Drosophila melanogaster: one gene and its partner. The protein of the gene in region 1 purifies or fractionates together with the protein of each later gene. This does not show direct contact. Each region holds a gene or a part of one and is shown on either strand. Other genes may lie near its edges.

The links.
Region 2: the proteins of Xpc (region 1) and Gnf1 purify together in Drosophila melanogaster (affinity purification with mass spectrometry, with the first as the bait; one large-scale study listed by BioGRID). This does not show direct contact.

The regions. Positions count from the first base shown.
Region 1 is NT_033778.4:15,309,864-15,317,774, reverse strand, and holds the start of Xpc (xeroderma pigmentosum, complementation group C), read right to left. Parts: upstream 6,266-7,911; 5' UTR 5,996-6,265; coding exon 5,808-5,995; intron 5,743-5,807; coding exon 4,958-5,742; coding exon of another isoform or gene 4,938-4,957; exon of another isoform or gene 4,811-4,937; intron 3,158-4,810; coding exon 1,161-3,157; intron 1,096-1,160; coding exon 628-1,095; intron 567-627; coding exon 398-566; intron 342-397; coding exon 64-341; 3' UTR 1-63. Other genes in the region: CG8152 (uncharacterized protein), read left to right, coding at 6,725-7,735. UniProt on the Drosophila melanogaster protein: Involved in DNA excision repair. May play a part in DNA damage recognition and/or in altering chromatin structure to allow access by damage-processing enzymes.
Region 2 is NT_033777.3:4,904,704-4,910,655, reverse strand, and holds Gnf1 (germ line transcription factor 1), read right to left. Parts: upstream 4,035-5,952; 5' UTR 3,943-4,034; coding exon 3,934-3,942; intron 3,868-3,933; coding exon 2,537-3,867; intron 2,475-2,536; coding exon 1,566-2,474; intron 1,508-1,565; coding exon 730-1,507; 3' UTR 575-729; downstream 1-574. UniProt on the Drosophila melanogaster protein: The elongation of primed DNA templates by DNA polymerase delta and epsilon requires the action of the accessory proteins proliferating cell nuclear antigen (PCNA) and activator 1. This subunit binds to the primer-template junction.

The DNA of each region.
Region 1 (7,911 bases):
CAAAAATATCAAAATGCCTTTAAACGAAACAATAATACGAACATAAATCAGAGGCCAAAGAATTCAAAAGTTATATTTTTTCTTGAGTCGCTCGCGAATGAGGAGACCCTTGATCAGCTTCTTCCAGTTTCCGTACACGCGGGTTTCGTACTTCTCCTGCTCCTTGAGAACTTGTACCTGTTGATCCTCTTCCCAGGCAGCAGTGACCACTTCGCGGAATTCCTCGCAAACAATGAAGCCATCGTACATGGGATGACAAGCGCCTTGATGAAAATCGAAGCCAACCACTGCATTGGCACAATCAATATTCAGCTTCTTACAGATGCGCATCAAGCCGGGCACTATAATTGAATTTCGAGGTTATTTAAATAAATTGGTGAGAAGAAACCTTTCTTACATCTCAAATGCACCGTCTTCTTTGGCAGCATGCAGTCCTTAAAGAGCTCAACATTGCCGTAGGCATTTCGCGGCACAATTCCATTCTCTGCAGTTGGGGGCTCGTATTCCTGAGTTTGCCAATACCCGAAGATTTCCAATGGCTGGTCCTTAATAACAGTGCGCGTGAGCTGAAGGATACAACACAATAAAATGAAGCACATATGCATTTAAAAAATGAGCACAACATACCCTATCCCACTTTGGACGTGCCTTAACCACCTTGTACGGCTGTTCGCCAAGCTTCACCACCCGTGCGCTTTTTAGCCATATTTCCCGAGAATGCAGGAGGTGCACACAATCTCTGGAGTACACCGCTTCACCACGGATAAAGCCCAATGTAGGCGCATCTGGTGGATATAGACCCTGGAACTTAAGCAAGTGCCGCTCTAGCACGTACAGCGGATGGTCCTTGAACTCGGAAATTGACTTTGGCAAGGGTTTATCGGAGTGAATGCGACGTAGCTGATCATCCTCTGTTATATCGCGCTTGGTGCGGCGTCCGAGGTAAGGAGCAATAGTTTCATCTAGCCACGCCTTTTCTACACGGGCTTTGCGCACAGTGGTGCTCCAACTGGCGCAGTACCTGGCGGTCACATCCTTCAAACTCTGATCATCCTGAAAGGCGAAGACGTAGGCTAATCCAGGCGTTGCATTTTTCTGCGCAGAAACAAAAATACAATTACTGGATGGAGGGCACGACATTTGGCTTGATAAATACGCACCCTTATTGTGTCCACGCAGTGTAGCTTGCCTTTGAACAGATCTATACAGATCCACTGCTCCTCCACATCTGACCACACTTCCACCCACATGTCAGAGGCGTCCGTTTTCCGATTGAGCCTGGAACCGCCCTCATCATCTGTTGACATCACTCGCCGATCTTTTCGCAGATTCTGTACTGACTTGGGCAGTACAGGAGCCTTTTTCACCGGCTTGGCGGGTTCAAACACCTCATCGGAATCTTGCGAATTTTTCAACTTCTCCAGTTTTGGGCGCTTTTTCGGTAGCGGCACATCGTCACCGCCGTCTAATTGCGGAATGGCTAGACTACTGGCTTTTTGACCTCGGCTTCGTAGCTGACGAGCTGGCAAAGCTTCGGACAGAAAGTTTGGCGAAATTCGCGCCTTAGTTTCCGGCGCCATTTGATGCTTTTGAGGGTCTGAAGTGGAATCGGCTCCGTCGGATTTCTTTTTAAGGAAACTAGGGGATATAAGTACTTTCGGGGACTTGCTCCTTGATCGAGTTTCTCGTGTGTTGCGCTGTTCCTGCAGATGTTTATTCGCAGGACTAGCGTTTTCCGTATCACTATGCTTGGCATTTAGCTGCTTAACTTTGGACAGCATCAGTTTAGGTATAACTGGTGATCCAACCACCTGCGGTTTTTCCTCTGTTTTGGGTTTCACAGTGGCTCTGCGTGTGCGACCTGCCACTGGAGAGAATGTGTCCACAGGAGCCACTTTCGGTTTCTTGCTATCGCCTGATTCAGAAATATTTTGAGTGGTGACCCTTTTTAGAAGGGACGATTGTACTTTAGTTTTAGTTTCGGCAGGGCTTGCGACCTTTTTGTCTTCGAGTTTGGATGAACTTAACTTGGCTGTCTCTTCTTTTAAAGATTTGGAACTTGATGAGGTACTGGGATTCTCCTCAAATGAAGTGTCCGATTTATTGGAACTAAATGAAGATTGATTTTTTGATTTTAAAACCAATTTTGAGGATAGAGTCGGTTTTAATAACTTTTTGGATAATCCCAGTTCTGAATATTCTTCTTTTAGACATTTAGAGCTGGACGACGTACTTGGTTTCTCATCAAAGGAAGTGTCCGATTTGCTGGAGGTGTAGGCTTTTTGATGTTTTGATTTTTCAACCAATTTCGAGGAGAGACTTAGCTCCTTTTTAACCTTCGGAACTGTACCTGATTTCGTGGTTTCTGAACCCTTGGTTGTTGATTTACTGAGTGGTTTAGCCTCAGCTTTTTTTGCATTGTTTTTCTTTTCAGCCTCTTTGGAAATAGTTGACTTACTGCTTTCTTTTTCTGCTGGCTTCCCTGCCTTTTTATCTTTTTTAGGCTTCTCATCCTCGCTTTCCCTTTCGGATTCCACTGTTTGGCTTTTGTTTTTATCATCTGGCCTAAGCTTAATGGGAATCAAATCACTGGCCGCCGGACGCAGTGGCATTGGCTGGAGATTGACAATTAGCCGACAGTGCATGCCCATTCCCCGTGCAAGGGCAATGAATATGAAAATCATATCCTGCTTGCAGCGGGCTTCCTTGCGCTTCACCTGCTCCAGTAAAGCCTCTAATATGGCTTCCTTGGTAGCAGGCGACTGCGCGGAATATAAGTTGGGACTTAGCAGCTTGATTGATGTTTTGAACCACGTGACAAACGACTGCAGATATTTAAGTTCGGTGCCTCGTTCAGTAGGATATGCGTTTCGGCTTGGCAGGAGTTTCAGGGTAGCCTGCATCAGGGAATCTGACTCGCTAAGCAGGCGATTGTACTTTAAGCTGCGAGCTATTTGGCACATTAGGCTGACTTTGTGCAGCAAAATCTGACGGTCCTTGATGTCCCTGTTAAGGCGACGCTTTAGGGCCATCTCCAATTCGTGTTGAGTCTTTTGCTCCTTCGTAGGACGGAGCCCTTCCAGTCCCACGCGTATCTCCAAATCCCCTGAGATGTTCGGCGTCTCGCCATCGTCCTGGTCACTGGATAGATCTGCATCTGCAAAAGGGATTCAATTCGGGGTGATGATGTGACACTGGACTGAATGATGAACTGTGAGATAGACAGAGTTTGTTTAAATGGAGGAGAAAGAGGGGTAAAATATCTAATACTCGAACATTTCAATCGATATAAAGAAAATTGAGATTCCCAATATGAACCATGGATATGATCATATCCATGATTTTGAATTTAAATACATTTGTAAATGAATTAAAATAAACCGGGTAATAAAAATGTTACTAGTAGCAAGTTCGGCACCAATGATTATGTGGGAGGATTGAGCAGGGAAGGCAGGCAAAAAATACCCAGACAGAGAGCATGGATTCCTTTCAACATTTGCATTTATTTATTTATATCTTTTAAAGTGCATTTGAAATTTCAATTATTGAGTTAATTACAATCAACATTCACTAAATTGCGCTAAAATTACGAGTTTCATTTGATTTATTGCATCCATTGTTGGAGTATATCATTAATAAATTAGATTAGAACTCTGCATGCAGATGTTTATATTAAGTGAATACAATTTTGCTAAAGTAAATTCGTTAAACATCAGTTCTAATTCGTTAGCTACTTGTTGATTTCATTGAAACACTTGCCATTGCCATAAAGTAAGTACACAAATAGTTGACTAGGACATTTCACTAGCTTTTACAAATTATTATTTCTATTACTGGGCTGCGATTAAAATCCTTTTGTATCTCATTTTGATTTGGTTAACTAGATTCTTTTTGACTTCAACGTGTTTCGTTGCGTGGCAAACAAAATATAAAAACTGACATAATAAATAAAAGTAAATGCATTTTCTGAGTAAAATATATCATTGTTTAACATATTATTATCAAGAGTGTGTGTGCAGACATTTAAACCACGTTCAGAATTCGGTAGACATTGAGTTTATGCTTTTGTTTTTTTCATCCGTTTAACACGCAGATTGGGCTTAAGCTAGTGCAAAAACGTTTAAAAATGTTCATTTGATTTAATTTTTTTGACATTAAAAAAGATTTTAATAAGCTTTTGTGGTAGATTTTCCTATCGATCATTGTATAGACTTTAATTATTTTTTTAGCGGACAACTAAGTAGCAAATGCCGCAGGAATCTTGATTTTGGCTTGGCATCTCCCAAATTCGGGCTAAACATACAAATGTTGCATTGAAACGTATGCCAAGTACAACGGACTCATGACATGGTTAGGGGGTATAAATAGGTTAGTAAGCCAAGATTCTAGATAAGCGTCTGCAGCATCTCATACGCTAGTTTCTCAGTCTAATCGACTAACAATATGTTACAGTAAATAGGTATATTGTAGATTCATGGCCATTATTTTGACGCGGCTGTTCCAAATGTACATTCTAGCATACAGTTGCGGTAAAAATAAAAGCATTTCCTTGTAACTTCTACGATTTGTATAAATGGGGAAATTGTTAGTGTCAAACTAGGACAATACATTCGAATATGATAAGTCTTAACGGAAAATGCAATATAAATTATTATATAAAATAACACGTTTAAACTCGTTAAAGAATTTGTATACAACACTATATAAAACCATGCTCTTATTTGGACCGCAGCTGCACAGGTAAGTTAGTAATTTCTATCTGTTCACATCGACAAATAAACTTAGTACAAACAAAACTACACAGTCTCATACAGAGCAATTTGGAAGCTTATTTTTATTCATCAGATACCAGAAATGCCAGCGCCACAACCAACTTGGATAAGCATGCTCGACTGCCTTCTGCCAACGCCAACTCTTCCGGGAGCCTGGCTGTCAAACTACTTGCATTTTCGCCTACCTGCCACTTCCTCAAAATCGGAGTCATCAGTATCACCAGCGTTGGCGACCACCGTGGAGACGGGTCGCGTCTTGGTGTGTCGCTTTATTCGCGTTGACTTCGTCTTGCTGAGGCGTGACGGTTCATCAAGGGTCGGAGGCGCTGCTGGTGCTCCTCTTCCCGCCTTCTTACGCTGATTCCCTTCACGTTCCTCCACCTCCACACTCTGGTAGTTTTGGTTCTCGCCCAATGCAAGCAGCGCATTGACATCCATGGTGGCAGCCTGGCTCCTTGGCGGAGTGGCCGTGACATTTCGTTTGCTTAAAGCATCCCTAGTGCGCTCCAAACTGTTTGCGTTCTCCAGGAGACCGCGAAAGTCGAAGGCATTGCCTGCTTTATCCTCGAAGCTGCTCTCGTTGTTATCCTCCGATCCAGAGTCTGAAAGATTTGTGATGCCCGCATTACAATCGAATTGGGGCGCCGGTGACTTCTCTTTTTGGCCGCCGGCAAAGAAGGTTGAGTGCAGATCAAGATCGGCTGGATTTACTAGGTAGTCTTCCACACTGGATTCGCTGCTGGAATCAGCAGGACCGTGCTGATTCCGTGCACCGCTTTCATTGGGCGTTTTGGCGTTTTTTGAACCCGAAGCCCGCGGAGTGTTCTCCTTCTGTTGCGAAGGAGAAGTGGGAAAGGTCTTTGGAGGCGGTCGGTACTTATTGTACAGCTTGGAGCGAAGTGATTGACCAGTGGGCTTGCGTTTCTTCACCGAAGAGCCCTTGATGCCACTTGGTGCCTTGTGATCGCTGCTGGGAAGAGGGGGAATGAAAATTTCAAAATGTACCAGAGCAATGGACCCTTATCCCGTTCTCACCCTCTTTTTCCCGCTACAGCGGAGGATCGTCCACTGGAGCCCGCTGCTCCTCCCTCCGCCTGGAGCTCATCGAAATCGCTGTCATCATCGTCGGAGGACTCGCCTCCCTTGACGTCCTTGCTCGGCTTCCATTCATCCTCGCTGGCCGAGAAGCCCTCGGACACGGAATCCTCCTCCTCGTCGGACATCTTCCTTTTTATCTGGGGCGTTTTACATTTATGTATCGATGCGTGCTACTTAGTTATTGATTTTTACTGCGCAGTTATTCAGGGCACGCGTTACACAAGAATATCCTAAGTTCGTTCTCCTGATTTGATATTTGATTATGGATGTTGGGGGGCAAGTTTAATCCTGCCTGATCTCGGTTTTGGACAGTTTAAATGAATTGCGAAATTCACATTTTCGCGCTTGGTAGAAAACAGACAAAAAGCAGAGGCCGAGAACAGTAGAGATGCGCGCCCACCCACGATGGTATCGATACTTTCGGCTTATCGGGACAATTTATCACCTAAACGAAGATAGTGTTAATAAAATAATGTTTACTAGCCTTATAAAAATTTTTATTTTTCATTTCATTTTTGAGTGACTCTGGGATTTCTTTAATTTTATTTTTATTACTTAATATAATTACTTAATTAATATTATTTTTGTATTTTATATTATTTATTTTTTCAAGAACGCAAAAGAAGCTTAAGAAACTTCACATAGAGCGGTATTAATAGATTTTTGACCGACAGTGTTGACTAAATAATTTCAACAGTGTCATTCATTTTTTATCTCCTAAAATCACCATCTCTATATTCGATTAGTTTGGCTATCGACTTATCTCCAAACGATATTTTTGAGCACTACGCAGCTCTGACGCACATCTGCGAAATGTTTATTTACAAAACGAGTTAGCATCATTATTGTCAAAAATGAATTCTCAAAACGAATTGCATCCAAATTGGCTGGCTCTAACAACATTGCCACTCCAACTGAAGCGATTCGTCCGAGCAGGAGATCCGGATTTTATCGCCGAGTCCCCGAAAGCAGTAAAGCACCAAATCGATGGCTTAAACGGAGCAGAAGCTCGTGAGTTCTACAAGGAGGTGTTGGATGCGCCCACAACCTGCCAACCTAACCTTCCAAGTACCCACAAAACTGCACAAACAAGAAGAGAGCCAGAAAGGATCCTAGTCCCCTTCGACAAAAGCAAATTTTTCCGTTTGGCCACTAGCAACAAAGTAGAGGAGCTGTCTCAAATGAAGGCCTCAGAAGAGGATTTAAATTCTCGGGATTCCTTTGGCTGGACTGCCTTGATGATGGCTGCCTGTGAAGGAGCCACGGAGGCAGTGAGTTGGCTCGTGCAGAGAGGGGTCCAAGTAGAGACCTCAGACAAATCCGGAAACACAGCTCTGAAACTGGCCCAACGAAAAGGTCACTTAGATGTAGTTCATCTTTTGGAATCCCTACCCATTTTAGAGGAAACTAGCGAAGAGGATGAGTCAGTTGATGGCAACAACCCCTTTTACTGTGAAATCTGTAAGAGGGACTACAAAGAAACCCCCTGGCCAATTCATCAAACATCCACAGTGCATCAGTTCAATCTAAAGGCTCTGCCCGCTCATAAGCTCCACAAATTTAACATATCTGCCAAAAATCGAGGACTCCAGCTGATGGTGAAACAGGGCTGGGACCAGGAGCACGGATTGGGACCGAGTCAAAGTGGGCGATTGTATCCCGTCAAGACTGTTCTTCGAAAGCAACGCACTGGACTGGGAATTGAACAGCAGTCGGCAAGGGTCTCCCACTTTGGTGCCTTCGATTTAAACGCTGTTAGGAGAAGGGATCCCATATATCAGCCGAGAAGGACGCGAAGCGATATGCAGAGGGAAAAGGTGCGCGAATGGAAGCGAGAACGGTACCTCCGCAGGGTACTAAGTTAAAGATGGCTTACAGAGAAAGCTAACAAGAATTGTACTATAAATTATAAATGGAGCCAGCCTAAGATGTTTTTTAAGAGCAAAATAATAAATTTAATTATTAATAATGGTGATTTATGAATAGTAGATTTATAAATTTCTCATTAGAAGGAATACAATATTAGTTATTCCTTCTTAAG
Region 2 (5,952 bases), on another chromosome or scaffold:
GCCCGCACATGCTGTCCCCTGACTTTTCTGGCAATTTTCACTGCATTTTCCGCTGCCCAGTACGTGCATCCGTTCGCGTTGACATCGGGGAAAAAACTCAGATACGATACTCTTTGGCGCTACCACGAGATAGCAGGGCTGCCGAAACATCGATTGCTGCATTATCGATTGTGCTTCGCAACATCATCGATTTGTTTCAGGCCAAAAACGTTATTATGTTATAATATATTTATAATAATTAATTAAGTATAAATTAAAGACTTAAATTAATTTTTAAATTGTAAACGTATTTTTCACAAATGTAAATGTACGATAGTACAAATTAGTTTAAATTATAGAGCATGGAGTGACCATCACTGATCGCGTTACCAACAATTTTTTTTAAATAAATTTGAGCTTGACATATTCGCGCTCTTGATCCTTATACAGTTAAAGCAAACAATTGATCAATTAAAAAATCATCATCTCAATTCTTTCGTAGTATTATTCATACAGACAATTATTTTATTACCAATTTTTCCCTTTTTAGTTTACACCTACGCCACTCAGTGTTATAATAAAATGTTTTGCAATTCAAGCACATATTTTATTGGTAAATATATATTTTCAGCAGTATAAACAGTGTCGGCCAGTGCCGGCCATTCATGAGATTTTAAACAAAAACTACTTACAAATGGGAAATTTGATGGCAAAAAAATCATCATATAATATAGGAAATCGTTAGTGCATTCACTTTTTGGCCTTGGCCTTAGACTTTGAAGCCGTGGAAGATGTAGCCTTTTTGGATCCACCAGACGCTTTTGACGTAGTTGTCCTCTTTTTGGCTTTGATCAAACTATCCAGCTCTAGGTTGTCCTTGTCCTCGTCTTCCTCTGATGATAAGTGGCCACCAGCTCCGTCCTCTTCGCCCGGACCCTCGTCCAAGTAATCGTCATCCGCTCCAGCAGCCTCTGATTTCTTCTTTTTGATGCCTGCTTGAGCGGAATAGGAGTATGCCATAACCTCCTTGTTGTAGGATCGCGTTAAAGCGGCTTTTACTCTCCCATCCACTGCGTCCAGTGGGGATTTCTTGCCGGGCCAGGATGTAAGCTCGACCAGCGAGTCCAGATCCTCACGGAGTAGATGGTAATCCTTCATAACGTCTAAAGCAGCGGGCACACCCTCCTGCCCATCCTTTGCAAGAGGTCGCACAATATTATCCAGAAGGAAGGGGGCGTAATCCAGCCTCACTGATAGCCTTGAGCCCGAGGTGCAGACCCTAGTATGATCATGCAGCTCCTGGGCCAGCCTGGCACGTTTTCCAGACTTGGAATTCTTGCCCAGCCACCCGGGAAAGTTAATCTGTCCAGTGAAGTGGCCACACATGTGCTCGCCAGGAAGGACCGAGCTGAAAAAGGCCTGAGTGGGTAGAAGACTCCAAGCAGAATTCGCACGAATACGCTTTTCAACAAGGTCACCCAAGCTTAGGGCATCTGCCGTAGCTGCCACCTTTGCCAGGACATCCTTTCTGCAAAGAGTGAAGTTGGTGAATGGGTACGCCCTTGGCTTAGGTAAACTAGACTTACTTGTTTCCCTGTGGTAGGACCTGCAGATAGTTTTGCTGCACAAAGAGCGGGGCCAGGCTGTAGTCGTGAAAGAAAAGGTCGCTCTTGTCGGCAAAAGACATGTGTTTGTGCTCGTCCGCGGTGAAGACTTTTCGCACCACCTCCCAGGGTCCCAGCTTCAGATCCTTGGTGGCAACCTGCTGCCCTGACTTTTGGGAAGCGTCTTCCTTGGCGCTCAGCAGGGCAATGTGGTTAATGGATTGCCGAATATCGTTGTTGGTAGCCGCTATGATTTCTTCCACTTTGGCCGGTGATATCTTTACTTTTTCCTTAAAGCAGATGCTCATTATTTTCCCTTTGATTTGCTCGAGGCGAGGCCTCTGAAATCGCAGATCGTAGCAATAGTTAACCAGGGATCGAATTTTTGGATGGTTGCGATCATTACACATGCAAATAATTGGAATAGAGCTATCCTTGATCAAGGCAATCAGCTCCTGCATTCCACCACGGTCCTCGTTACCGGCCATGCCATCAACTTCGTCCATTATGAGCACATGCTTGCGGGAGACCGCTTGGCCTTGCCCTGTAAAGTAACCGGAGAGGGATTTGTTGCTCAGCAGCGTGGACACTTCATCCTTGAGCAAGCGTTTGCTGCGTGTGTCGGAGGCGTTGAACTCCACCGCATCGAAGCCAAGCTCCTTCACTACCAGAGTCGCCGTCGTGGTCTTTCCTATTCCAGGGGGTCCCGAAAGTAGGGCCGCCTTGTAGAAGCTGCCGTCGTCGTTCTTGGCCCAAGGATTGGGCCGTTGGGGCTTCTTGTTTCCATCATGGTTAACATACCACTTGGACAACCAGTTCATCAGCCTAGGAAAATTAAAATAATGTAAAACTTTAACCCTCTCCTGTTTGGCTTTCAGTTTCAAATTGTGACTGTATAATAAATATATAACTTTGAAAGTGGAAGCTACCATTTATACATTTAGGTTACTCACTTGGTCACGTTGCTGGCGGCTCCTGCCTGGCCAACGATTTCTTTTATGCTCGTAGGCTTGTGCTTGTCCACCCAGGCCATCCCGACCACATCCAGAGTCTTCAGATCGGCAGTTCTTGGCGACGGAGGGTGTTCTTTCTGGGAGCTGGGCTCTTTTTTTACTTTCAAGGTAACAGCTGGTACATCATTAAGCTTATCCTTCGTCTCCTTCGGGGAAGTGTGTTCTTCCTTGACTTTATGTTTGGCGATATCATGCTTCTCGCCATATTTCAGTTTAGTGGCTTCCTTCTCCTTTTTATCACTGGACCTTCTAGAAGTCTTGACTTCCTTTTTCCCTTTCTCCTCGGAGCTGTGCTCCTTCTTCGGGCTTTTCTTCTCTTCCTTTACCTGCTTAGCGATTCCTGATTTCTCCCTGATTAGATCGAAGAGCCCGTCCTCGCTGAGAATGGGTATATTGAGTTCCTCAGCCACAGCTAATTTCTTTGGTCCAGCCTCTTCTCCTACGACCAGATACTTGAGTTTCTTTCCAACCACGGTCATCACCTTTCCGCCATACTCCTTGATCACGGACTCCGCCTCCTCTCGTTCCATGGACTCGAGGACTCCGGTTACGACAAAGGTTAAGCCACTCAGACAATCCGGGGATCCCTTTGGAATTTCTTTGCTGCCGGGGTTCAGGCACGAACTGCGGTTTTTGTACTTCTGGTAGAGCACGGCGGAAGCACGTTTACGCTCGTGGCGTTCCTCGTCTGTTAGGACACTGGATTCTAGATCTGCCGCAGGTTTCTCCTTCTTCACACGCGGAGTGGTGGCTTTGGATTTTGTTGACTTGGGTTTTGGCGGTTCCGGGCTGCTGTTCTTTGCTCTTTTAGGCGAGGGAGAGCTCCTGGTTATCGAGTGAACCTTTTTTTCGGGGGCAGCCTCTTTGATACTCTCGTCCAGATCAACTTCCATTAAACTCCGGTCAATGTCTTCGTTCTCGAACTCGAGAACAGCTTTGGTCTTCGGCTTGGGCACAATCACCCGTTTGGTTTCTCCACCGAAAAGCTCCGTAGGATCTACGTGCCGCTTAAGCTTGGAGAGCGCTGGTTTCTGCCCGTTCCTGGCCTTCTTCGCAATCGGTTCCGGTGTGGCGGCCACCACATCATCCTCGCTGGATGCTGTCTTCGAAGCCTTGCGTTTCTTGGTCTCCGGCGGACTGACCACCTCGTCCTCGTCGCTGGAAATTATCACGGCTTTCCTGCGTTTTGGCGCCTTCGACGGCGTCTCTCCATTTTCGGCCTCGGCACTTTTCGCCTTGGCCGGCAGCCGTTTGAAAAAGGAGTCAATGCCCTGGAACAAATGATTTTGTTAAATTGATGTTTTCACCTAGTGCCTGACTGTCTCTACACAACTTACGCGTTGCATTACGGCAGGAATTAATTATTATAAAATTAATGCTGCGAGCTTCAGAATACGGAACAGTGTTACCAGACACGAAATCCCCAGTGTAACCGCGTCGGTGACGATTGAAAAAAACTAGTATAAGTATTTTAAAGAATCAAAAGCACTGAACGTTATCGATAGCTCACTAAATGTGTGTCAAGATACAAAAGGTATAAAGTCGTCTGGGCAGCAAAAAAAAATTCGCAACGGTGAATTGCGAATGAAAAGGAAATAGAATTTATTGTTTTAAGCACGTACAGAAAAGAAAAAAGTCAATTTTATGAAAGAGGCACAAAAACTGGAAAGAAATTAAATGAACATAACACTTGTTGTGTTATTAAATATGATAAATAACCAATAAATCAATTTTGTCATTCTCTGTCACTGTAGCGAGGAATTGAAAAGTATTTTCCACTTTACATTCAGTTGGTTATCTAATCCAGTTGTAATCGATATTCCAACAAAAAAGTTCGGACGGCAACGGGCTGCACGTTGCAAATCTTAAAACTGATAAATCTATTGTTTATATATTTCTTTGTCTTTGATGACTTTGATTTCGTGAACCGTGTTATAATTTTATTTACATGAATGTTAATTTCACCAATTTTTTACTTCAAGTGCAGATCTACAGATCATATCGCATGCGATTTTCGATGTATTTAGCGAATACATCTTTAGCGGAGACATCCTTCACATATATGTATATTTGTTTTTAGCGAAGGCACCCTCCTGATATAAGGTTTTTGTCTTTGATAGAAATCAGAGGGGCTGTAAAATTTTCAAATGCTGAGCTCAATTTTTTGCCGAATACTTAATTACTATTTTATTTAGTTATTTTTATTTTATTATTTAGCTTCAACATATATTCTCTTTTAAATAGTTTGTTGTTCAATGTACAATTGTACACAGACCTGACACAATAGGGTGGCGAAAATAAAGGCGACTTCAGGAATAGAAGGAAGCGTTGAGATATAAAATAATTATTCATATTTCTGTCACGCTTCGAATACCATTATATACCTAAAATTAAGTTACCTTTCAACTGGCTACTCTTATAATCGTATTTTCAACATTATTGACTTATACCCATTACTCGAGGAGTAAAAGGGTATACCACATTTATACTATATATACTATAAACTAAATTTTTGAAGAATTTGATATTTTTTCATAATTTCATAAGTCATGTAAAGTTCTATCGATCTAAATTTGTATCCAAAGCCGCACAAAACTGCCACGCCCACTTTTGAAAACTTAAGATTTTTCTTCGTTTTATTATTTGCCTTGCCAATTTGAATTATTTCAATCAATTATGAAATTTGCGCGTCCGCATTCACTCTAGCTGAGTTACGGGTATCTGAAAGTCGGGGAACTCGACTATAGTATTCTCTGTTTTTTTTTTTTCTCAAAATGCGTTTAATTGGAAGACTGCAATAAAAGGTTTTTGATTTATTTTTTATTACAGTATGAATATGTTCTATATTTGTATAATTGAGCCGGTGCTTACGAAGTAGTCTAGAATGAGCATTTGATATTATTAGTATTACAAGTGGCTAATGCTTAATGCATTATGTACATATGTATTTTGGGCAGAGAAGCCGCTGCTGCTGCTGTTAACATTCGTATTATCCTGGCTTATAAGCCAAGATGATGGGCTTGGGCGTTTCGAACGCCATCACTATGCGAGTAGACTAAGATCCGGAGCAGGAAATGCCAGCCAGTTCGCGATTAGTCTATTAAAGCATATTTGGGCCGAGGCCAATGGGAACTTGGGTCATTTTGGCTAAAAGTTAAATGGTATAAACTAAGCATTATATTTTACACCTGCAGATATACTTTAGGTAACTGCCAACAGGACACTCACCTGTCGAGGGTCTAGTGTCGGTGTTTATATATAATAGCGATTCTGACACGTTTTGATTTGAGTTGCAACTACGCCTTATTCAAATGATAGTTAAAAAAGTTTATAGTTATAGGCAGAAGGACGCGTTT